Rhinolophus ferrumequinum: one gene and its partner. The protein of the gene in region 1 purifies or fractionates together with the protein of each later gene. This does not show direct contact. Links are inferred from orthologs where the notes say so. Each region holds a gene or a part of one and is shown on either strand. Other genes may lie near its edges.

Region 1 (12,199 bases):
CACCTTAAAAAAACATACAATTTAGATTGGTTTAATCTTGAAATGTAATCCAATAAGACTAAACACTAAACATTTCAGGTCCTGTACCAAATAGTAAAATACTCGAAGGCCTTCAGGATCCCTAAAATTTAAAAAGGTAAAAGTTACTTTTTGTTCCTAGAAATAGTGTAATTTTAAATTAATTCATAAAACAAAACAAAAACCTAAAACAATTAAGTTAAAGACATACGTAGCTAAAGCTATTAAGCTACACTGGATTCTTTTTTTCATTTATTTGGGTATTACACCCAAAGAGGAAAACGATGTGATGTGCTATGGGACTAATGAGGCTAATATCCAATAAGGATATCTTTTAAATTTTGTGACACTGTGTCCAAATTTTTACCCAAAAAAAAGTAGCTAATAAAACTTGGGCATTATTATATATAGCTGTCAGATTAAGATTTTTTATTTGAAAATCAATAAAATACACTGCTACCTTCTTCGATAACAAGTTTTTAATGACATAAAAATCAGAATTTCATATGCATAATAAACTGATAGGGTATCATGGAAATGATCTCAAACTGGATATAGTCTTAAAATGAACCTCTCTAATAAATGTTATCAATTTAATGAAAATGCTTTAACATACTCACTTTGACTGATTGACATCAATAAGAGAACCTATTTTTGACGTCGTAAAAGAAATGTGTTCATCTCCGATTACAATTTCAAGCTCCTGAAAAAAATAAAATAGAGAGATGTAGTTAATATAAAAATTCATCCCAGAGATATCTGTATTCTTGCTACTGAGAAGTCCCAATTTTAGCTGCAGTTTTTCTAACAAAGAAAAAGAAAAAAAGACATTTGATCTGTTAGACATAAACTATGTCTATAAAATAAAAACCTGATCACCTATTCAAGAGTCCCCAGTATTAGGACTAACCAAAACTCCTCTCCAGAGATCTCATAAAGATACTATAAAATGAATGACATACTTCAGGGTGACAATAAATGTTTCATGTAATGTCAGTAAAAACTATTGGCATCACTCTGAAGCACAGTGTTGTAAAAATAATATGATCTAAGTCTTTTTAATATAATAAATATAAACACACTTACCCTTTCACCAGGCTCTAAAGATAAAATGTATAATATGAATAACAGCACCACTTTAGTACCCACTATGTGTCAGGCTCTGCTGCTACGGACTTTACAGACATTATCTATAATCCCTGAAATACGCTTGGGAGGTAAGCGTATTTTACAACTGTGAAATCCAAGACTCAGAAAGCATAGGAAAAAACTTGATATTCACAACCACCAATAAGTGAGGGTACTAATATTTGAATCCTGGACTGTAAGACTGAAAGACTCATACACTTTGACTTCACAAAACATTAAAATTAAGAACTAGTAAAACAAATACAACATAATGTAGATGTCCCCAGTGTGCCACAACTATTGTACAAATTTTTCTCTGTATTTTATCTGCAAATCTAAAACCAACAATTAAGAGGCTATGTGTGTGGTGATTTCTCAGGTTAAATAGCACGCCATTCAAGACAGTCTTAGCTACATCACTGATCAGAAGACCTAATTATGCACAGTTTATGGCACACACAAAATAATTAACTAAGGTTCTTAAATAATCATAAAATATTTGACTTAAAGATCCAATAGACAATTTCTGGAGCATGCCAAATCCTCCCCAATACCAAAACACATGATCACATCAAGTGGATTGATGAAAATACTGGGCGCTTCCTGAGTTTAAAAGAGATAAACAGTTTATTGCTGTTGTTTCTGTTTTTTAGAACATATGTACATATGCATAAAACAAACTGAGATCAAAATTTGTGTTTTAAAACTGTTTACAATGCATAAAATACTCTTTACTATTACTTTTGTTTTCCTAAATGTTTCTTTAAATAGAGTTAAGTTATTGCTACAGAGTGTCAACATCTGTTAAAATTTCTCCATACATTTTCTTCTACTCAAAGGTGTTACAACGTATAATCCTCAGGAATATACAAAAGTGAAATTATGTTTCTTCTTCCAAGGGTCATATTGCATTTCTCCAAGAGTTGAAAAGATCCAATTCAGAAATCAAACTGTCTTTCAACAGAGTGAAATTAGGCCTTCAGATCTCTTCAGAAGCCCTTTAAGAAACATTAATTACTCTGAAGGGAGTATGAGAGGCAAAGGCAGTGGTCAGTTTGAACAAAGAAACCAATCAAATCCCTCTCTGGGGCAGAAAGATACAAATAAGAATTTTCAAAGTTATAAATTTAGAGAAAGTAAATTTTACATGGTCAATGAGAATCCTGTCTCCAATTTCACAGACACCTGTACTTATTTCTAATAAAAGTGGTTAACATATAATAGAAATTATCCATAACAGTGTGAAAACATCCTAACCTGGGCTGGCTGCCACAAAGACTGTTCAGAAAGATGTCTCAATTTACAGTTATACATGGATTCCTTTACTACTAGGAAGCAGCACAAAAAATGAGACCAAGTAAAAGAAAATTAAAGCGTATTTACTAGGTATCTACTAAATAAAAAACTAAAGAATCAGTGAGGATCTATTCTAAATAAGGAGAAACATAACAGTTATATTATCAATTTTTAATATTTATGCATTTAAAGAATCCCTAAATACGAACCTGTCGACCAACCCTATCAGGAGGAGGCCACAAAGCATCATCTTCTTTGGTAATTTCACTGTCATCAATAATTCTCTTCAGTTCTTCCATTACACTCTTGTGTACATAAGCCTGAAAACAAGTTACAATAAAAATTTCATAATGCCTATTTCTTCCCACAGGTCAGAAGGAAATGATAAAATGGAGTTAAAAATCCTAAATATTCAAATAGAATATCACAGAAAAACTTAATTCCAAAGTACAAGATGGGAGGGAATCATTCATCCTTCTTAGGATTTTTCTTCTCTCTTGCCCTTTTCTTTTAATATATATTGTTCCCTCGTCACATCACTTAGCCCCTTTTTAAACCGTTGTATTCTGCCTTGGTTAACATGGAACTCAAATATCTCCAAGTGATTCATAGCGACAACACAAAATTTGAGGTGAACAGAGACAAATACTAGAACACATCACAGTGATCTGAACTTTTATCCCTAATTTTGGAGCCTTTCATTTAAAATTCATATTGTGTTTAAATCATGATCATTGTTTTAAATAGTGAATAGAGTAAAAAGACAAATTAATTATGAAGTGAATTAAATGGTATGTTCAAATATGAGACTATAACAATATATTCAGATTGCTTCTTTTGTTGTTACAGATGCTATGATTAGATCTAATTTAAACTGAATCACTTTTCAATCTATAAATTGGATTCTTTACAATACGGACTTATATGTATTTTTGTAAATTCAACACAGACTTAAGGAAAATGGCAAATGTAAAAAACTGGACATTCAAAAAAATCTTACCTCTTTTCTGATCATGACATCATTTTTGTAATTGCTGTTGTTGGCATATCTAAGCTTTCCTGTGGGGAGTGGAAAAAATTCAATCTATAACAGCAAAAACTGCTAAAAAAAATAATAATAATAAAGAAATGACACTGTAAGCAATTTTGAAGATAAAGACCATACTATACTACTACTTTTATTAATAATTCTTCCCTCTCAGCATAAGATTAATGCTAGACATGTAGGCACACAAAGATTTGCTGGTAAGTTGGCTACAGTTGAAGCTAGTCAAATTTTTAAACATTCCATGCCTTTGATATAATTTCTAAATATTCAATATAATTTTTAAATATTCTATACCTTCAGTATAATGGGAAGGCCATTTTTTAAGGCCCATTTTCTTAAGCTATGTCCTAAACTAGACAGGGAATCTGAAAAGAGAAAAAACTCTTCTTTTAAAGTTTGTGTCTGTGTTGGTACCAAGTGATTAGCCCAGAGCATTTAATCTAATCAGTTAAACAACCTTAAAAAGTGGGTTTTATTCTCACACCTATTGATAATTGAGAAAACAGTTAAGTAATTTGCCCAGGGTAACACGAGATTCAGCTCTAGATATACCTTCTTCCAAGTACTCCAAAATTTGGAGTAATTATTTTCCTTCAAATTAATGCACGTATGATAATATGGCAATGGTAGTATTTCAGAATTGTGGTTAGGAAGCACACAAACTATCTGCTGCTTCTGGATAAAAGTTGGCCAGTTTGTTAGCTAATCTATACTTAATTTTAATCCATTATGACTTTTGTACTCCCTGATGCATACTTCCCCTTATGGCTAATTAGTTGCCCAGGTACAGATGTAATGTGCTCCTGACCCTCTAAAATGATAGGTTAACCTAATGAGGTGAACGCCTTAGGAATCACTATTACTGATGGAAATATGTGCATGGTGTGGTAGCTGATAAATGGATGAGAACCACTGTTTGGGCATGAAATTTCCCTGATAACATTAGACTACTTAATTTATGTGACTGGCTAAGGACAAGCTGAAAACTATTCCCAGGCCAAAGCACTGAAAAAACATCACCTAAGGAAACAACAGATGGAGAATTCAGGTAAATTGGCTCCTTAGCTAAATTTAGAACAGACGTGAGGAAAACAGGAGAGAAAAAGGTGATTAAGGTTTCTAAATAATTGCAGGTCTGTAGTGACCTGAAATGTCTGATACTCTTCCCCTTTTCTAATATGTGATTCTCCCCTAAGTTCTCACAGAACTTTGTCCAAAACACGAACACAGCACTTAATAGCCAGACTGCTTTATGGTTAGTTTCATGTATGTGTTGCCCATCAAGATGTAACTCCTTGTGGGAAATTAAAGAGTCTTAACCACTACCGTACCCTCAATTTTTGTATTTACATGCTGCCCAGCACATACCATGCATTCAGAAAAGAAAAGTCTATGCAGTCGGACTGAGCTTGTTGCAAAAAGAGTTCAATATACAATAAAACTCTCTAGAGAATCAGAGCTGAGGAAAAATAGAATCTGCTGTACACTTCCTGGGCAGCAGGCAGTTTTACTTCGCCCTCTGCTCACGCTGCTCTCACTGCTGTTTTTCCTGCAGAGGCCAAGAAAATAATCTATTTCCAGATCGTCTCAACTGTCACCTTCTCTGGGAAGCTTTCCCCGCTCCTTCATGTAGAACGTTATAACCACTCTCCTTTTTTAATTTTAATTCATACTATAGAGAACAACTGTATTGAAGCACCCACAATAAAGATACACCATTACACTCATTTTTCTACACGTTGGTCTTCCCCTTCAGAGGACGCCTCATTCGTTTTTCTAGACATGTTGCCTTACATACAATGCCTGAATGAATAAAACGGATGAATGGGTAAATCCAAAAGTTACTGGCCACCAAAAGATTTTAAGCATCCATTAAATCAACGCACGTTGGGGGATGTTCTTTAAAACGTTCAAGTATTAGGTCGATACGTTAGACGGCCTTTCCGGTCCTTTCCGGTGAGCTGAGTCTAGGATCCTGACTACCGTAGGTTCAGCTGTAGTATCTGGCAGGATTACCTTTTCGGAATTAATTTACATCGATTAATTCTCGTTTATTCACAACACCTCTTTTGTGAATAATTTATGCCTCTTGTATTCTCAAGCTCCCATTTACTTCGGCGCAAGCAGTGGCCTCAGCCCTCACTGTACACTTGCACGCCCACCCCAGGGGCTCGCCCACCCCACCCCGCCTCCTCCGCGGCCTCTCCGCCCCGCTCCCCCAGGCCCAGCACCGCGCTGCAAGGCGGCGGCCGCCGCCGCTCCTCCGCTCACCGTCCGGCCGAAACTCGAACTCCAGGAACTCATGTCCAAACTTGCCCTTGTGCCCTACATAGTAGCGCAGGTAGAAATCGCTGGCCAGAGACATCTTGGTCTCCAGAAAGCCCGCCGAAGGCCTGGCCTACTCGCCGCCGGGCGCCTAGCAGTGACGTCAGTCGCGCGGGAGAAATGCGTCACTGCGGCGCGCCCCTTCTGCCTCCGGACTCCCCAGAGGAGGGCTGGGAGGCTGCAGCTCCTACAGGAGGCCCGAAGCCAGCGGAGTAAGGGTCGCAACGACTCGAACTTCGCTTACTGGCGACAGAGGCATGTTATTTTCAAACTTAAGTAAATCGTAAATAGCAAAGGACAAAAGTGTGAACATATGATAGCATTTTTTATCGGCTTACAACTAAGGTGCAATTGCAAGGCGCGTTTAGTTTTCGGGTCTCGATTTCTCGCGGCATCCTGTGAAAAGGTGGGCGTGGCATCACTCCCCTTTAACTGGGGGGATGAGTCCAGATAAAGCCCGGAATCGAAATGATAGATCTGGAATAAAACCCTTTTCTCCTGCTAGATTCCTAACTCGGGGCTTTCCCCTTTGGACAGTGCTAGCTGTCCGGCTACTTGATGCCTATGAATAATAGAGACAAGGTAGAATCCATCAGACAAGAGGTCTGAAAATTTGAAAGGCACATTGAAAATGAAAATCCCGACAGGCATGGTATAAAAGAGTTCCTTTTAATAGTAAAACTTCTTTCATTAAGGAAAGGTTAATCTTTAGTGGCCTGAGGAGTTTTGGCAATGTGACTTAAGGTCAAATGGTTTAGCCCACGTTTCTTACCAAATAGAATAAATTGGGGAGGGGAGGGATGCTTACCAAAGGGTTTAGAAGGATGGGCAAAGGCCAGGTGAGCTTTCACACAAAGTCTGTTTTTCAAATATTGATCATCCTTCCTTTACCAACACATAGAGTAATCCTGTTGATGACTTTTGACCTTCAGTGGGGTTTAGTAGGAAGAATGGCAGACAGAAGACCTGGGATTCATTCCCAACCCTTACATCTACCTAACATTGGTTAAGTCACTGTCTCTAAGTCTGTTTTTCCATCAACCAAATGAATATACTACAGTCAACTTTGCCAAGCACACAGAATTGAGAGGGCCAAATGAGATAATGCATGTAAAATAGATTTAAAATGTATAAAGCATTAAATAATGAGATTTAACAGGTACTCCTATGTGCCAGAAATGGTTAGACACTGTTAATAAAAAGATAGAGCCTTTGCATTTGCAGTCTAGAAAATAAACATATAGACATATTAGCACAAGGAAGCAAATGTTAGAAAGAATTTTTTTTAATGCTGGTAGTACAGCAGAGGAAGCAAGTCACTTTATTGGGGAACAGGAAGCTGAAGAAAGGGAAGTATCGGGGAAGCCTAGTGTGACAAGACGTGCTATTTGAATTGGACCTTGTGGGATAAGTTGACTATATGTTCAGAGGGATGGAAAAGGCACTCCAGGAAGAAAACAACCTGAGCAAAGGCACAGTGGTGTGAAAATGCATGTGTGGGGACAGAGCCCCAAAAAGCAGTTTCCAGGCTCTCGGCCTCACATAGAAAGGTGCTGGCTCAGGTAGTAAATGGCCATCGACTGTGATCAAATGGCCATCAGCTGTGGCTAGTTGGCCGTCAGCTGTAACCAGTGAGCCATTGGGCACTAATATAACTGCCGTGGCTAGGCTAGCAGAAAATGGGGGCCTAGCAAGAAGATGGTGGCTGAGTCTGCAAGCGGCGCAGTGAGGGTTGAGAATTGTGTTGCTCCTGTTTCCTGTTTCTCCAACACAGCCGCCAGCGAGAATACAGTGGTATGACTCCCCTACCTATGGCTCCGTGGGTGTTCCTTTTTGGCCTAGCCATGTCCTGCGTTCTTGTGTGGGGAGCGGGACCAGAGACCCCGCCTGACACCCCGCATGACAGCATGATTTGGGAAGGCCAAGAAATTCAGTATAGTTAGAACATGAAGTTCATGAAAGTGGAATAGCTAGAAAGGCAGATTGGCCCGGATTATGTTGACTCTATATTAACGATTATGTAACTGTCAATATAGTAGTTTGTATTAACCATTGCATCAGTGTTTACATAGGAAAATTATTCAATTCCTACTGTACAGGCTGCCATTAGGGAAAATATATAAGAAACATAAAGCACCATCCTTTACCACTAGGGCGACTAACCATTCCAGTTTGCCCAGGACTGAGGAGTTTTGTGTGATGTGGGACTTTCAGTTTTAAAACCTGGGAAGCCCCAGGTAAGCTGGGATGACTCAGTCACTGTACCTATTACAAGAATAACCCACAGAAATTTGACCACAGTATCTATGAAAATACAGGCAGTAATCCATTTGGTTTGTTTTTTGTAGGGAGCCTCATTCAATCTCGTTAGATTCCCTAATGCATTTCTTTCAGATTTTTGACACATATGCTAGCATTCATGTTTACCTAAACAGAGCTACAGATACCAGATCTGTGACTGTAAATAGAGCTTATGGAATGCACAGTGTTAAAATCTTTCTCTGTGGTCCAATTACTGTCTCTATGCCCTGAAAAGACTTCTGCGGTCAAGACTAATCCTCTCTAATCCTGTTTTTAAAATGAATTGCGAAAATATATTAATCCTTCATATCTTTAGCAAAAAAAAAAAAAAAAAGCCAAAAATGTGTCTCTCTCATAGTATAAGGATTGCAAAGTAATAAAACATAAGCTGTTTTGTGGTCTTGGATATTATACAACAGAAATATGGAAATGTTGTGAATGGCTACTGAGCACTTGAAATGTGTCTAGTGAGGCTGAGGAACTGAATTTTTTATTTTAAAATATTAATTTGTGTGAATTTAGATTAATATTTAAATGCAATGTGTCCCCTGGCTATGGTGTTGGACAGTGAAGTTATATAAGACACGTTTCATACACTTTTACTTGGGCTGGAAATAGTGAAAACATTTTTCGAACATTAAGAAATCTCAATCTCAGTGGTTGTAGGCTTCAATTTAGGGCATGCTTACTGGTATCACCACTACAGTTTATTCAATTTGTAATGTACAAATGCCCACATAAATAAGTGTATAATGTCTCTTACTTTCTAGGCTGTAATCAAAAGCTCTCCGTTCCTTTTATCCAACACCTAGCACAACGTATAACAGTGTTGTCCTTAAACTTACCACTCAATTTTTTAAAAAATATTTAAATCAATAAATATTTTGTAAATTTGACTTAAATGAACAGCCAAGAAACAACAATGAGATTCCAGAGGACTTCATCATTTTGTGCCAAGCCACTCAACCTTCCTTCTCTCTACTGCTACTTACCACCCCTTTAAATCCTGACTAGTTCACTGTGGTATTCCTACAGGTACAAGAATCATTATTTAGTTGGATGACTCATCATGACTCCATCAGGAGTCTAACTTTTATGAAATTTTCAACTGCCAGTCATCTTTCCTACAGCCTTAGATGTCCCACCCAGAGTACCCCGAGTGAGTATTCTTTAAAATCACAGATCACATGTCCAGCTGAATTGTCATCATCGTGATATTTTCAGTGTTTTGAAATAGGAGGAGACTCTTCCCATCCTCCAGAAGCTCACACAGAAATGATTACTTCATCATTTTAGTCCTGTGGTGCTTGTACCACACCATCATCCTTAGGCAGGCCCTGCCTTGCAATGTGACTGACAAACCTAGGTTCGCTTCTCAGCCACAGATTTTAAATAAAAAAGATATGAAAGATTCTAGGATAGGAAGGGAAAAAGGAAACTAACATTTATTGAGTACATATTATGTGCCAGATACTGTACAAATACATACTCTCATTCAGTCCTCACAACAACCCTGTGAGGTAAGTATTATCCCCATTTATCCATTTTCTGCCAATGTAGATTGCCTCTTGAATTTTTCTGTTGACGTTAACTTCCATTTATTTACTTTTATCCTCCCTATTGTCAAGATGTTAGCAGCTGTATACTAGAAAAGCCCACTTTCACTCAGTGAATATTAACGTAATGAAATAAGTTTCACAATACATCAGCAGATGATTGAAAATCAGAAGCTACCATCCTTCTGTCTCAGGTGATGTCCTTTGCTAGCCCTTGTTAAAGACCTTCTGGCCTACTAAGCATTCTTGCTTGATTTCCACATTCCCTATTTGTTAAACACACACATTATATTCATCATGAGCCTGACTCTCCAGGCTCCGTCTCCTTAGTCTTACAGGGACCAGGAAGCTGGCCTGATGAACACATGTTGAATGTTCCTAATCATAAAATGATCCCTCCAGGTTCTCGTTAAAAGTAAAACCACCAGGGTTTACCTGTGTTACTATTAGGGAAAAGGGGGCTATCTTTCTCTTACCTACGCTCAGGGGAAACTCAGAAGTTTTCCTTCACAGTTCTCCTCCAGCCCTGCATGAAGGGGCCAGGACTGAGGAATGTGACATCCTTTCTCCACCTTCACTTTGAAGGATGACCTTAGTCCACATCTATACTCCTGAGCAAATAGAAGGACCTTTAATTTTCTCTCATCAAGTTCTTTATTGGCTTTCTAGTCCCTCATTTGACTAATTTCTGTGGACCTTATAATAGCCTCGATAAAAGCATCCTTCAGGAGGAAACTAGCCTGTGGTGGGAGCAACCAGCTTATTTGTACTGTGCCCCAGCAAACATCACAGATTTCTAAAACCTCCTGTGCAGTGACACTGGCTACCACTTCTACCCTGAGTCTTCAAGACTGGGACAGCAGAAATGAAATTGTATTTCTCAGCCTCAAGGGTATGCAGCGTGTAGAGTTTCACCCAGCATCACTTCACATATCTAGGGAAACGTATGGGGGAAATCCAGGATCCATGTCCTCTTTCTCTCTTTACGTCCCATTAGAAAGTCCATCCTCTGTTCTTGGAGAAATTGGTTCCAAGAGTATATGATCACCCATGGATGTTTCTTGCCCTGGGATTGTCAAAGGAAGCTGTGGCTGTAGGAGAGGCTGTCCACGCTGATCCCTGCCACAGCTGCATACAGCTCAGGCACCACCAGCTCTGGTACCTGCAGCACAGCCTTGTCATCTGCAGTTTGAGCAGCAGTTTCTAGGCGTGAGCATAGCTCTCTAAGGGAAGGGCGGCTGTCCTCACTCCAGCGCCAGCAGGACTTCATAAGACCATACCTGCAAGGGAAATGAGAGACACTGACTTCCCTGACCAGGCAAGTGTATGAGAAACACGTCTCCTCTCCTAAACAAACTTGAACAAAAAAGCGCTACAGTTCTTTAATCTACTTCTCATTGTCCTGTCTCTCATATTCTTCCCAGAGATTAATATTCATTTCGTCCTCTTAATACTTAGTCTCTTAAAATCATCTTCTCAATAGCACCCTTTTTATAATAGTAATGACTGAAGATTCCTCGGAGTACAATCAGTATGACAGAACAGTTTGTGGTTTTTCCTCCCCCATTCTATTGCCAAATGCTCTTTCAGAAGTCAAGTGTTCTCACCTTTAGATGTTACTAACTTGTAGCATTCCAGACCATTGCTACAATTTATGTATCAGTAGAAGCTACATTATAGCCAGGAAAATAAGAAGTTATGGAATAATATGATTCATACTAATTTTTAGGTGTTCCCTTCCGTTAATCGAGGTCATTTCCCCCCTTTATAATTTAGCTTCTTCAGGAAATTGCCTTAATCTAGATAAAAATACTTTAATCCATCTTTTCTTCAATCCAGTTTAGAGAATGTATAATGCTATCTGTTTTCAAATACTTTTATCATGTACGATGATACCCTGCTCAAGAACCAACAGTTTTCCACCGCCTACCACATGATGTCGACATCCTACCCCCAGCTGTCTCCCACTCAGGCCTGGCCTAACTGAAGCCCTCTCCTCCAGCCCAGTGTCTTGCTATGTCCTACATGTGCTATTAACACCCAGCTCTGCCTTTGCTCATGCTATGCCCAAAGCCTTGAAATCTTCTCTGTCGTCATCATTCCCTAGGTTTGTTTTAAATCTCAATTCCTCTATGAAACCTTCCCTTATAAACCTCAGCCCACCATGTTTCCCACGCTCATTAACCTTGTACCATAAGACTTTGTGAAAGATGCTACTTTAACACTACTAACATTTACCAAGAACTTATTATATAAGGCATGGAAGTGGAACTCAACATGCATTATTTCATTTTAGCCTCACAATAACAAAGGTAGGATTATCATTTTACCTATTTTAAGATAAGTAAACAATGTGCAGTAAAATAACAGGACTAGGACTGAGCATGTGTCTTTTTGACTCTATGAGAGGAATCTGAGCTTTTAACCATTTTATTTACTACCTAACACTTTATGTTGATTTTCATGTTTTTCAGGTATCTCCTTATCCAATGTTAATTTCTTCAAGATTAGGTATTTTATCAGTTAA
Region 2 (13,068 bases), about 29 Mb from region 1:
AAAAATGGTAGTGATTTTAGAATGTGTTTGAATTTAAACAACCAACTTAAAATAGACTGCTATAAACATAGCTTGGTATATATGAAGCACATTGGTAACCACAAACCAAAAATTGACAAGATATATAAGAAATAAAGATAAAGGAATCCGAACACAACACTACAGAAAGTCACCAACATACAAGAGAAGAGAGCAAAAGAGTAAGAAAACAACAAAGAACTACAAAAACAATCAGAAAACAATAAAATAACAATAACTACATACCTATCAATAATTGCTTTAAATGTAAATGCATTGAATGCTCCAATCAAAAGACGAATGGATAAAGAATATTTGGGGGCCAGTCGGATGGCTCAGTTGGTTAGAGCGCAAGCTCTGAACAACAGGGTGCCAGCTCGATTCCCACATAGGCCAGAGAGCTGCGCCCTCCACAACTAGATTGAAGAAGCTGAACTTGGGGGGGGTGGGGCGCATGGCCAGATGGCTCAGTTGGCTAGAGCACAGGCTGTCAACAACATCGGTTCAATTCCCGCATGGGATGGTGGGCTGCGCCCCCTGTAACTAAAGATTGAAAACGGTGACTGGACTTGTTGCTGAGCTGCGCCCTCCACAACTACATTGAAGGATAACGACTTAGAGCTGATGGGTCCTGGAGAAACACACTGTTCCCCAATATTCCCCAACAAAAATTGAAGAAAAAAAAATTTGGTACATGTATACAATAAATATTACTCAGCCATAAAAAATAAAATCTTACCATTTGTGACACCATTTGTGACAACATGGATGGACCCAGAGGATATTATGCTAAGTGAAATGTTAAGTGAAATCAGACAGAGAAAGATAAATACCATATGATTTCACTTATATGTGGAATCTAAAGAACAAAATAAACAAAACAGAAACAAACTCAGATGGAGAGCAAACTGATGGTTGCCACATAGAAGGGGGCTTGCAGGGCAGGGTGAAAAAGGTAAACGGATTGAGAAGTACAAATTGGCAGTTACAAAAGAGTCACTGAGAGGTAAAGTACAGCTTAAGGAATATAGCCAATAATATTGTAATAACTATAAGCACGTATGGTGTCAGGTGGGTACAAGACTTATGGGGATCACTTCGTAAGTTATATAAATGTCTAACCACTATGCTGTACACCTGAAACTAATATATTTAATGTCAACTGTAACTGAAAAATGTTTTTAATTTTAAAAAGGAAAAAAAATATGGGCTATGAATAGCGACTTTCTTCTAAAGAGTACAATATGAAAAGAGAGGGGAAAAGAGCAACTTACAGTAGAGAAACCTTATAAACACCACCTCAGCCAGGTGATCATGGTCAGTATCAACAGTAAAAAATCATCGTGATACTATTTACCCTTGACATGACATAATGAACATGCCACGTTACCTCTATGATCGATTCCCCAAAAACATAACCCCAGTCTAATCATGAGAAAAACATCAAATTCCAATAGAGGGGCATCCTACAAAATACCTGACCAGTACTCCTCAAAACTGTCAAGGTCATCAAAAACAAGGAAAGTCTGAGAAACTGTCACAGCCAATAGGAGCTTAAGGAGACATGAGAACTAAATGTAATGTGGTGTCCTGGATGGGATCCTGGAACAGAAAAAAAAATTAGGTAAAAACTAAGGAAATCTGAATAATGTACAGATTTTAGTTAATAATAATGTATCAATATTAGTTCATTAATTGCAATAACAATACCATACTAATGTAAGAGGTTAATAATAGGGAAAACTGAGTATAAGGTATATGGGAATTGTACCATCTTTTCAAATTTTCTGTTAATATAAGTCTAAAAATGTTCTTAAAAATAAAGTCTATTTAAAATTTTAAGAAGAAAAGAGAAAGAGGGAGGGAAATGATGCAAAAATGTTGGTCTTGGATTGGGTAGAATAATTGTTGCCTTTAACAATTGGAAGGAAATAAGGAAGGAAAAACTGATACTGATTTTGGTCAGATTGTATTTGAGGTGTGACTGAATATCCAAGAATGAAGTCTATTCACCACACGATTAGAAAAGGGAACTGGCAACTCAGGAGAGAGGCTGGTGGTAGAAATAAAAACTGTAAAAAGTTAAGGAACCAATAAGCAGTGAGGAAATGGAAATAATATGCATAGTCCTGATATTGAAGAAATTAAGCGGTGGACAGGAAAGTAACAGAAATGAAGGGCCTTGATTTTTCAATTAAATAGAAAGTGAGGTCATCTGCCACAAGAGGTAGAATGAAAAGGGTCACAGAGAGCTAGGGGAAAGGTTGGGGAAATAGCAATGGCAGAATGTAAGCAAACCAAGAAAAAAAGAATTAGAGAGAAGCTGTCATATTGGCAGACATTAAGTTATAGAGACCCTGCTAGCTTCTGTGCCTGTTCTCTAGTCATATGCTGTGGCCTAGAAGCAGAAGCCCAGAAAACAATTGATGGGTATGATTCACGATAACAAAAGTGCTTGCTTAGTATAGAAGATCAAAACGAATAAAGAAAACAATGAGGATAGTATCAAACTAGCTGGTTAGAGGTCTACCAGGGCAACATCAAGGGTAGTCGTGAAGGTTCTGGTAGACTCAATGAAGTGGAAAAGAGTTAAGAATCAGAGAACCGTAAGGAGGGCAAAATGCTGATTCTGTGGGTGTGAGGTAGTGAAAAGGGTGACCGGTAAGGAAGCTAAAATAAGTGATGAGAAGCACATGGAGGGGAAGCAGTGTCATAGGTGCGGTCCAAGTTGTAGTGACTGTGATGTGTGGCTGGTTTGAAAACACAAAGGAAGGTCAATAGTCTCATGCTGAAGAACTTTAAGATCAGAGTATCCTAAAGGTGCTGTGCTGGAGATACTGAGAATGAGAGCCAGAAACAGAGTAGAGAAAAAAATATGTGATGCCTGACCACTGCACTGTACACCTGAAGCTGAAACTGAATAATATTGTATGTCAACCATAATTTAATATATATATAGTCATGGGATATGGAGTACAGCATAGGGAATAGAGTCAATGGAATTGTAATAGATATATATGATGTCAGAGGGGCAATAGATCGGGAGAGAGGGTTTATCACTTTGTGAGGGGTGAAATGTCTATTACATTGTTTTGTACACTTGAAACTAATTAAAAAAAAAAAACAACAACAATGATGTGATAGGTCTGGGTCCTTGTGGGCAGTAGATGGCCCTGGGGTATTAGAGAAAATGTTGTAATTGCATGGCAATACCGTCCACAAGTATTAGAGTGACAGTGGTAGATCAATGATATGGAAAGAGTAAAGGAAAGCAAAAAAGCAGTGTGATTCCTTCTCCTCTTCCACATGGGTCTCCGAAAACAGAAGACACCCCTTGGTGGGAGGGTAGGGTGAGATGTGACATCTGGATTTTCGTTATATCAAATTAAGGAAACAGGTAAGAATAAAGAAGTGTACTGGAAATTAAGTAATATTTTCAAAGCACACATTAAAAGGAGCTAGTTGAAGAAGGACCTACTGAGTAGAGAGGAGAGGTTGTACCACTTTGAAGTGTGAGGTTGGAGAATGACAGGATTGTTGTCATTAGATATAAGAGAAGTGGTTTGGGATGTTAAGGAACATGAAAAAAAGCAAAGCGAGAAGCATAAATGGCACATTTTAAAACAGACCGTATGTAGCACAGTACAGACATAGTGTCACTTCCAGAGAAGACTATATATACACAATGAGGGCTACAAAAAAGAAAAAAGTGGGAGTGGCCACTTAGCTCAGTTGGTTAGAGCACAGTGCTCTTAACAAGGTTGCAGGTTCGATCACCACATGGGCCACTGTGAGCTGTGCCCTCCACAACTAGATTGAAACAACTACTTGACTTGAAGCTGATGGGTCCTGGAAAAACAAACTTAAGAGTAATACTTTGCCTTGCACAGCATTTTATAAGTTGCCTTCACATATGCCACCCTATTTGATCCTCAATGGATAGACAGTACTATGCAAATTTTTCTAAAGAGGAGGAAATTCGGATAGGACAAAACGACAATGAAAACCTTGCTTTTTCAGTTTTCAACACATAAACCTCACATACACAGCAGACACTTCAGCATCTCAATCAGCCAGGCTCGAAATTCTTCACTAGCGATAAGGAACAGTAGATTCTATCAAATTATCAAAGGGCTTGAGGCCACTAGACACCTTGCTGGTTTGCCTTCTTGCACCTTAGATCCCTCAACTTCTATCATCATCACCAAAGAAAGTAGAGAAGGGTGGGGCCATCAAGGAGAGAACTCAGCTGAAAGTTGTATTACGTTTCTCTTCCCTTCACACCTCTGTACCTCAGTGACCCAACAATAAAGATGAGGAAGAAAGTGGAAAAACCACTATGTAGCAATGAGACCTTCTACAGATACAGTTTCGAGAAAAAGAATTAAAACGTTGCTGTGGTAGGGCAGAAAGCAGGTATAACTAAGGGGGGGGAGGGGAAGGACAGGAATTGGAGGGAACTGAGAGTGTAGGAGCCCCCAAGACTGGAGAACCCAAAAGAAATATTGAAGCTTCAACTGCTGGAGAAAAGCTAAGAGCCCGAAAGGGTCCTGGAGCAGGGACCAGCATTGAAGGACCCCAGGGTTTGGGTGACCGGAAGCAGAGACCCCTAAACTCGAAACCAGAAGGGGGCGCAGGTGACACCCCGTGGGAGAGAATGAATGGGGAAGGCGGTTCGGAGGGCGGGGCAAAGGAGGGGCCCCGGGATGGGCGGGGCACAGACCCCTTTCCAAGTCCGAACCCCTGCCCCGAGAGCCCGGAGAGAAGCGGCTCCGCGCCTCCCGCACTCACCGCCGGTCTCGTCAGTTACATAGGGAGTCGCCATCTTGAAAACGCAAACCACTTCCGGCGTGAGCGGGCTGGGGTCCCGCCCCCTCCCCACCGGAAGTGGAGTTCTGATCGTAGCAAGCCACCATTTTAGTCTTAAAGAGAGAGTACACCATTTCATGACCGGAGGTGGAGAAGAAGGAAGGGAGGAATAGTAGCTGAAGACTTTAGTAAAATAAAAGCCGTGGGCTCTTTTACTGCCACTGATACCATTATGGAGCGTCTGCTGCGTGTAAAGCAGTCCTCTGGGCGCCGAGAGAAGTTCCTAAGCACAGCCCCTCTCCTCACATGCACTCTTCATCCGACCAGGACCTGCGAGGGAAAAGGGGGCAAGGCCCACCTGCACCCGGAAAGGGGGGGCTGATAGATGAGAAAAGGAAGAATATTCAGGCTCTGGCCTGCACTCAGGTCCCAAAACGGCGTGAGGGCATGGAGCAGCGCAGGCAAACTCCGGGAACGCACTGGGGCGCACTAGTGTTGTTGGAGGCTAATAAAAGATCCTCACTACTCTTTTAGAAGGTGGGCAGGTCGAAATCGCGTGCGGACTGCCCTCAGCCGCCCAGCTCAACCCTCCGGACTGAGAGCCGCGAGAGAAGGTGGAGGGCGCTGCCGGTTTGTCACCTGTCCCCGCAGTCTCAGGGTTGCCGACAGCTTCCATGCCGTGCAGGTGGTGGGTCGGGTTGGGCAGGAAGCCTGGGCCTGGCCCTGCCCTTGGGGCGGCCCGGGGGATTCAGGCGGCGAAGTGACGACTGCTTAAGTTTGCTCTGGCCTTCGGCCCCAGGAGCCTCTTCGGGCTGGGCCCCAGGGTCAGAGGGCAGCGTGAAGACTTATGGGCGGACCCAGTTAGTATTCTAATTAACCTCGTACAAGTCTCTGGGCGACGGGATCGAAAGCGGGGCAACTTGCCAATAATCCGGGCCCACATTGTCACTCCCTTTACAACCCTGCCCTGCCCTGCGCCTCCTTATTCGTTAGACCAACCCGAATGTGCTCCCTCCCCAGTTCTTCTCAATAGCTGTTGTTCCTTCAGGGCCAAATCCTGCTGAACTCGTTTCCCCTGCAGCCTGGGAGGGGCCAGCTGCAGGTTCCTTTCCTCAGGTGTCACCTCTGCCCTTCCCCACCCACGTTGCTTTTTCCTTATCAACCCGTTTACCTTCCCCAAATCCCTTACATTGGCTTAGGTTAATTCCCAACAGTACCTCTGAAACCAGGGAGGAGGATGAAAGTGGGTACTAGTGACTATCTCCAACAGAAGGCTGCGTGCCCCAGTTTAAAAAACAAAAAACTGAGAGTAGTGGCTGACTACGGACTTCCTAAGGCTTTAAAATTAAGCTTCAGAAGTTTTCTGGCGTCACAGCTTGCCTTCCTATGCTCCCCTTCCCTGACTTCCACCAGAGGCCCAACTCAGAACGTCTCAAAAGACTAAAAAAAAACTGATTGCATTCAATACACAGTTATTGTAAGTGTTCTAACACTTGCCATCCTTAACCCCTGTTCTCATCAGTTGTGCTTCATCCCTGCCAGGTCTAGCTAGCATCTTGTCCTTAGCCCTGTTACGAAGGATTAGAGGTGAGAGTGTGGGATGAAACCCCTAAAAACTAGAGGGATACATTGGTCTTGACTGTTCTACCTGAGGAGTATTAGTACTAGTGGGCTGCTCTATGGACCTTTGTACAAGAGGGAATCCTAAAGTGGCCCTTGTTAACTACCCAACGCTAGGCCCTCCACTGTGCCCCCAGACATCCTGCCTCAGCTCTGGGGTTGACAGGAAGTGAAACTCAACTGCCTGCCTAGCAGATCTGCCTGGGACCCAGCCCTGGGCCCGGATGTGCCCCCCACCTGAGGAGGAAGAGGGGAAAGAAGAGGCTGCGGAGAAGAAGGCTGTTGTTTTTTCCTTTCCCTTTGTTCGTTGTGGTTTCTTTCTTTCTGATTTTTATGATGTGGTTGATTAAAGAAATGAGCACCTGGAACTGTAGGCATTAGACGCCTCTTTCTGAGATGTTTCTTGGCCTTTCTTCCCCCCACCCCCAACAACAACTCACTTGGTGTATGATGGAGAGCACAGATCCTAAAGAAGACACAGAGAATATGACTGATTCTGTCTTGTTCCTTATTACAGAGATCACCTCATGTCCCACTTTGAAGTTTCAAAAATGTCTTAAAAGGAGCCTCTTTAACTTCATGTTGGAACATATCTGAGGATGATGGAATGAAAAACACAGATCATACATATAGGGTGGTATCACTGTGTTAATTGCAAGGAAAGCTTGATGCCTTAAGAATGAGTATCATTCCAGGATTGCTAGATGAGAGGTTCGGATTGGAAGAGGTGCTAGGGGTCTTGTTCTTTACTTACACTATATGTTTGTTTAGGATGGCTTAGAGTGGGGAGACACTATACACACACACACCCCAAGCCACTCTTTGGTGCAACCCCTAAACTAGACTATGTCTTTGGCTGTCCTGCAGAACTAAGTACAGGACCTGATGCAAAATAGAACTTCAAAAGTTTTTATGATTCCTTATGACTAAGGAGGTCATATAGGACGGGGAGATGAAGGATGGGGAGTGGCAGTGCCCTTGTCTTTTTAAGGTTGGAGGGGACACAGGAGCAGAGAGACAGACCTTCTCCAACCCATGCCTCAGATCTCCAGTTCAGACGCAACAACAATACCCTCAAACCCAATTTACTCAGCAGCTGTATTTCTGATAAAAATGGAGGAGTCTCTTCTAACAAGCTTGTCTTGAAACAATCAAGAACTGCTTAGAACCCCCTGTTTCCACTAGAGGTCCTCATGAATTCATTCCTTCTCCTCCACCAAAGGCTGTGTGTGTATTTGTGTGTGTGCACACGACGTGTACAACACACACACATATATCCTTCCAGTCAGAGCTCTCCCCTCCCCCTTTCTTCCACCACCAGGTGTAAAAGGGAAGATTCCAGGAACTCTAGACTTTGTTACTTGCCCTACTTCAATGAAGGGTAGGAAGGGGTTAGACGGTGTTGGGGCGGGGCCAGGGAGCAGGATGCCTGGGTCCCCAGTTCCTACCAGTAAGTCCCTAGGCCTCTGTTTCTCTACCTTGCTCTACCAACTTCACCACCATCCATGCTGCCACCAGAGCCTTAACTCCAGAACAGATTCCAGACTGGAGAAGCTGGAAGGATCTTCCTTCATCTTCTCTTTTGGCCAGGGCCTTCTACACCACCCACCAAGGCCAGCAGGTAAAATGGGACGGTTGGGCATAAAGAAAGGGTGTTCTTTGTACCTAAACCTCCACCCCAGGAATTAAGGGAAAGATCTGAGTCTTGAGAGAAGAAGATGTCCTTAGACTTGGGAAAACAAGTCTGAGACATTTTCGCGAGGTGAAGAACCTGGAGGTGGGCAGATTCTCACAGGTAGTGTCAAGCAGTGTGGAGCACATGGTCCGGGAGCTGTTCAGGTCTCAGGATGTGGAGTCTGGAACTCTGGCCTTGCCGCTGTGAAATCTCCTGAGTATGAATTTAAAAGTCAATGGTGGATGGAAAGCAGTTGGAAAGGGAAGTCCCCAGATGGCAGCAATTAGGAGAGGATGAGACCTTGGCTGGGTGGGCAGCGGCCAAGCTATCCCATCAACAGCCCTGCCTCCTATCTTGGACTCCAGGGTCGGAATGAAGGAAGAAGCTGTGAGTGATTGGAATGAAGGGAAAATAGAAACAGAGCTGGTCCCGGGGCGGGAAGAAAATGAGAAGCTCAGGATGTGGAGAAAGTGGCACAGACCAGAGCCCTGGAGTAGTCGTGGGAGGGGGTGGGGGATGAGGTTTGGTGAAATAGAAACTGAGGCTTCTCCAGACTGGCAGTTTCCAGAGTTGGGGGTGCCTGGCGCCGGCGGGCGGGCGGGGGTGAGGGGCGGGCAGCTGTGTCGTCAGGAGCGGGGCGGCCCAGCGGCGGCGGCGTCTGCCTGGCCCGTCCCCTCCAGCCCTGGTCGGGCTTCAGCTCCCGCGTCGTGCTTCAGCTCGGATCGCGCGCCCTCGGCAGGCAAGGTAGAGACCCCGCGAGCCCCCGGCCGCCGCCAGCCCTACCCTCACGAGCAGGAGGGGCGGGGGTCGCAGGAGGGGACTCCCCGCGGGCTGGGGTAGGGCTGCTGGGCCGAGAAGGAGGAAGCGTGACAGCTGGAGCGGGTAGATACCTAGCAGGGTTTGCGCCAGGACGCGGGGGCAGCGGGAGGACTGGGCCAGAACCCGTAGGCAGCGTTCCCCGCAAACCTTCCCCTCCATCCCTCCCGCTCTCTCGGAGGGATGGTGAAGCTAGGCTCCCAGTGACCCGAGTCCAAGGAAAGTCCGTTTTGGAATCTCCAGAGCGCTGCAGCGGTGGAGAAGGGTTCTTGTTTGGCCTCCTGGTCCCCAACTTCCCACCACTCTCCTTTCCACACCTGTCACCGAAAAGTTTCTGAAACTGCCTGGGTCTGAATACGCTTTTCACCTTTAAATGGGGGAAATGAGCTTTACTGAAGAAAAAATGCAAATATTACTGGGCATCTCCTCAGCCTCACAACGAATGAGCGAGCCCACATGCCTCAACTGTGCCAACATGGTAACTTCCTCCTGTATTACACAATGACACCCCCCTCACACACACACACACACACACACACACAAACACCACCCCCTTAATCAGGCAACACTACCATCTGTAAGGTTTGTGGAGGCTTAATGAATTTTGAGGCTTCAAGCCAAATGAGTCCCTCCCAGGGGCCACTAACTAAACTAGTAGCAGGGATGGGCAGCGAAGAATAGACCCTCCCTGGGTCCCAGAAAAGAAGAGGAGGATTTAGGCCCTGGTGTTGTTAAGGGATTCAGAAGTCCAGGTAATCAAACCTGGGCCCAAGAAGGAGTGCCTGCTCCTTGGGGTTCCGTGGTGGGTCAGCCCGAATGTTCTGGGGGCATAGCTGATTCTTGACTAACAGTAAACGTGGGGGACTTGGAATGTGAGCAATGAATGTTGAAGTGAAAAAGAAAACTAAATTTTAGCACTGGCTTTGAAAATCATATTTATCTCTTGGTTACCAGCAATTTTAGTATTTGATGTTTAAAATAAGATCTAGAAAATCAGAAACACTAAGATTGAATGGAGTGGACTAAGGACAGGATATGTAGATTCTGGGCATGACCCTGAGAGAGTTGTGCTCTCTCTGGGCCTCAGTTTTTCTCCTCTGTAAAATCTGAGAGTTGGTGCCTCCTAGCTCTGAGGATGTTCTAGGATTCTGTCTCCAAGTCAATTTCTAACTGTCTCACCCCAAGTTGGAAGGGGCTGGCAGGGAAACCAGAGGAGGGAAGGGAAGGGTGAGTCACAAATAGCTGGCTGGCAGGCAGCAGACCCCACCCTCCCAGCCCTGGCAGTCGCCTGGACTAGCCCAGGTTATAGCCTCAGGGTTGGGATGGAGTGGGGAGGACAAAACTGGACTTGTTCCAGGTCTTAAAGGTCCCAGGGTCTTGCAGTTAGCTGCATTTCAACAACAGGGGCAGCTAAACTTTCGAGGAGAGAAGTAAGGAGGACAACTGAAAAAATCCCAGGAGCGCTATGTCCAAGGTCTTAGCCCTGGGCTGTCCTTAGACACAGATAATCTAGTTTCTAGCCACCTCCTCACCCACAGGCAAAGTGCAGAATCCTGATACTACATGTCTGTGCCTGAGATATGACGGGGGGTGGGGGGGGAGGTGTACAATGGGGCTTCACTCATGCTCAGAGTTCCTAGAATTTATACCTGGGTCAAAGGCATTGTTTTTCCTGATCTCCAGATGTGTTTTCTTTAGGTACCACCCTTGTATAATGATAACAACAACAACAACTGACATTTATAGAGTTCTGTGCCATGCAGTTGCTAAACATGTTGCATGTATTATTTAATCCCCACATTGTGACTGATTTCTCTACGTACCCATTTTACCAATGAGAAAACAGGTTCAGGGAGATGAAATAACTCATCCAATAGCTAGGATTCTAATTCATGCCTACCTAATTCAAAAGTCCATTCTCTTAACCTTTATACTATATTTCAGACCTGGGGGATAGGAAGGGTCATTTTGAAAACAGAGACAAGAGAGAAGTATCATGTCCTGCCATCCTTTGTTTTCTCTCTCCCTGTCACTTTCTCTCAGGTTCCATTTCCTAGAATCTTGGAGCTATCTAAGAATCCCCAGGAGTAATCAGAGCAGCTAATTAAGCCATACAGGCCCCATTGGCCATAAGACAATTATGTATTCACTACACCTATTGTCACTAGAGATTATAGTCATTGAAAAGGGCCAGATGGGTGGAGTCCTTTCTCCAGAATGTCAGTGTCCCAGAACCCTTTTCTGAGTGTTTCCAGAGAGTCCCCAGAAAAGGAATGGTGTGCTACATAGAGGTGGGCAGCAGAGCTGTCTCAAGGACCGAGGCTAAAGAGAAGATTCTTGCACTGTCAGAAAGGAAATTCTTGTAGGTCCTGACGGCCTCCTTGAGCTTGACCCAACAAGCCCTAAGTAAGTGGGCAGAGAGGAGGAAGAAGGTCACAGTCTTGGATGGAGTACAATATAAGTGCTTTTTAGCATCTCTCATTCATTTAACAAACATGTGTTTAACACCTACTGTATGTGCCCCAAATTTCCTCATCCTTAGTAGCAGAATGGACACTTTGGCATCTCATTTAACCATATTTGGGTTAATATTTCCAAAACGTGAAACTCCCTAACTTTGCACAACTATTTGTACAACCAATATGGAGCACTTATAACATGCTGGGCACTGTTTTAGGTATTGGGGATACAGTAGTGAAGAAGACTGACAAGTTCCTGCCCTTGTGGAACTTACATTTTGGTAGAAGACAAACAGTAAACAAGGAAGAAAATAAATTAGCAAGATAATTTCCACTTGTGATAAGTTGTATGAAGGAAACAAAGGAGGGTGCTGTGCAAAGAAGGGGGCTACTTTACAAGGGAAGGATCAGGGAAGGTCTCTTTGAGGAGCTGACATCTCAGCTTAGGCAAGAAGTCAGCTCTGCCAAGAATGGGGAAGGGTATTCCTGGCAGACAGAGCAGTAAGTCTGATGGCCCTGAGCAGGAAAGGACTTAGTGTGCTTGCAGAACAGAACAGAAAGGAGGGCTGTGAGACTAAAGGGGAGAGTGGAACAAGAGGAGGAGAGAGAACCAGGGCTCTGCCACACCGTTCTTGGGTTTGAACTTTGGTTCCTCCATTTGTTACCTGCCTTGGGAAGTCCCAGCCTCTTTGAGCTCCAGTTTCTTCGTCTCTAGAATGACTATGCCAATAATTTTCTGTTTCATAGGATTTGATTTTAGTTGATAATACAACAATAACTATCATTTTTTGTAGGCCTTCTATATGCCAGGCCGTATACTACTGTGTTTCCCCCAAAATAAGACCTAGTCGGACAATCAGCTTTAATGTGTCTTTTGGAGAAAAAATTAATGTAAGACCTTGTCTTTTTTACTATAAGACCAGGTCTTATGTAATATAATATAATTAATATAATATAATGTAATATAATATAATACTGGGTCTTATATTAATTTTTGCTCCAAAAGACGTATGACAGCTGAATGTCTGGCTGGGTTTTATTTTCGGGGAAACACCATAGGTACTTTTAATACATTATTTGACTTACTCCCCACAACTGTGAAAGATAGGTATCGTTCTCCCCATTTTACAAATGTAATTTGCCCAAGTCACACAGTGGTATCAGAGCTAAAAATGGAACCCAGATATGACTAACCCTAGTTCTGTTTAACTCCAAAACGGTGCTTTACTGTAGTAACGTGAGATATTGTTATTGCTGTTGTTGAATCCTCAAGGCAAGTTGCCCTCTACTACTTGGTCCCCGGGCCACTGGTCAACATGATGCACGTGATGGCTCCTCCTCGGTCTCTGGGTCTCATAGCTGAAAGGTGGTGCTCCCCAAATACTGCTGGCTAACCTAGCAGGGTAGAAGGAAGACCCCAGAATCCGAGACTCACCCCCTAAGCTCAACCCTCCTGGAACTGGGACGTCAGGCAGATGCTCAGTCTCCCCTTACCTCCTCCTAATCTCGCGCTCCATGGTCCCCGCCCTTCCCGAGCCGAGCTCCGCGGGGCACAGGCGAGAGGCGGGACCCGGGCTGGGGACCCGGCCAGGGCTAGTTCTGTGTCGCGCGTCAGAAGCGCTAGAGGTCGTTGCGGGACGTGTGGGTGGCTGGGGGAGTAGGTGACAGAGC

The links.
Region 2: the proteins of MAGOHB (region 1) and PYM1 purify together in Homo sapiens (co-immunoprecipitation; 3 studies listed by BioGRID and IntAct, with this or other methods). This does not show direct contact. The link is inferred for Rhinolophus ferrumequinum from reciprocal best matches to the Homo sapiens genes MAGOHB and PYM1.

Annotation. Positions count from the first base shown.
Region 1 is NC_046293.1:26,239,621-26,251,819, forward strand, and holds the start of MAGOHB (protein mago nashi homolog 2), read right to left. Parts: upstream 5,930-12,199; 5' UTR 5,856-5,929; coding exon 5,762-5,855; intron 3,502-5,761; coding exon 3,443-3,501; intron 2,763-3,442; coding exon 2,652-2,762; intron 722-2,651; coding exon 639-721; intron 122-638; coding exon 22-121; 3' UTR 1-21. Other genes in the region: tyrosine-protein kinase STYK1, read right to left, coding at 10,748-10,952. UniProt on the Homo sapiens protein: Required for pre-mRNA splicing as component of the spliceosome. Plays a redundant role with MAGOH in the exon junction complex and in the nonsense-mediated decay (NMD) pathway.
Region 2 is NC_046293.1:55,334,332-55,347,399, forward strand, and holds the start of PYM1 (partner of Y14 and mago), read right to left. Parts: upstream 5,030-13,068; 5' UTR 4,967-5,029; coding exon 4,810-4,966; intron 1-4,809. UniProt on the Homo sapiens protein: Key regulator of the exon junction complex (EJC), a multiprotein complex that associates immediately upstream of the exon-exon junction on mRNAs and serves as a positional landmark for the intron exon structure of genes and directs post-transcriptional processes in the cytoplasm such as mRNA export, nonsense-mediated mRNA decay (NMD) or translation.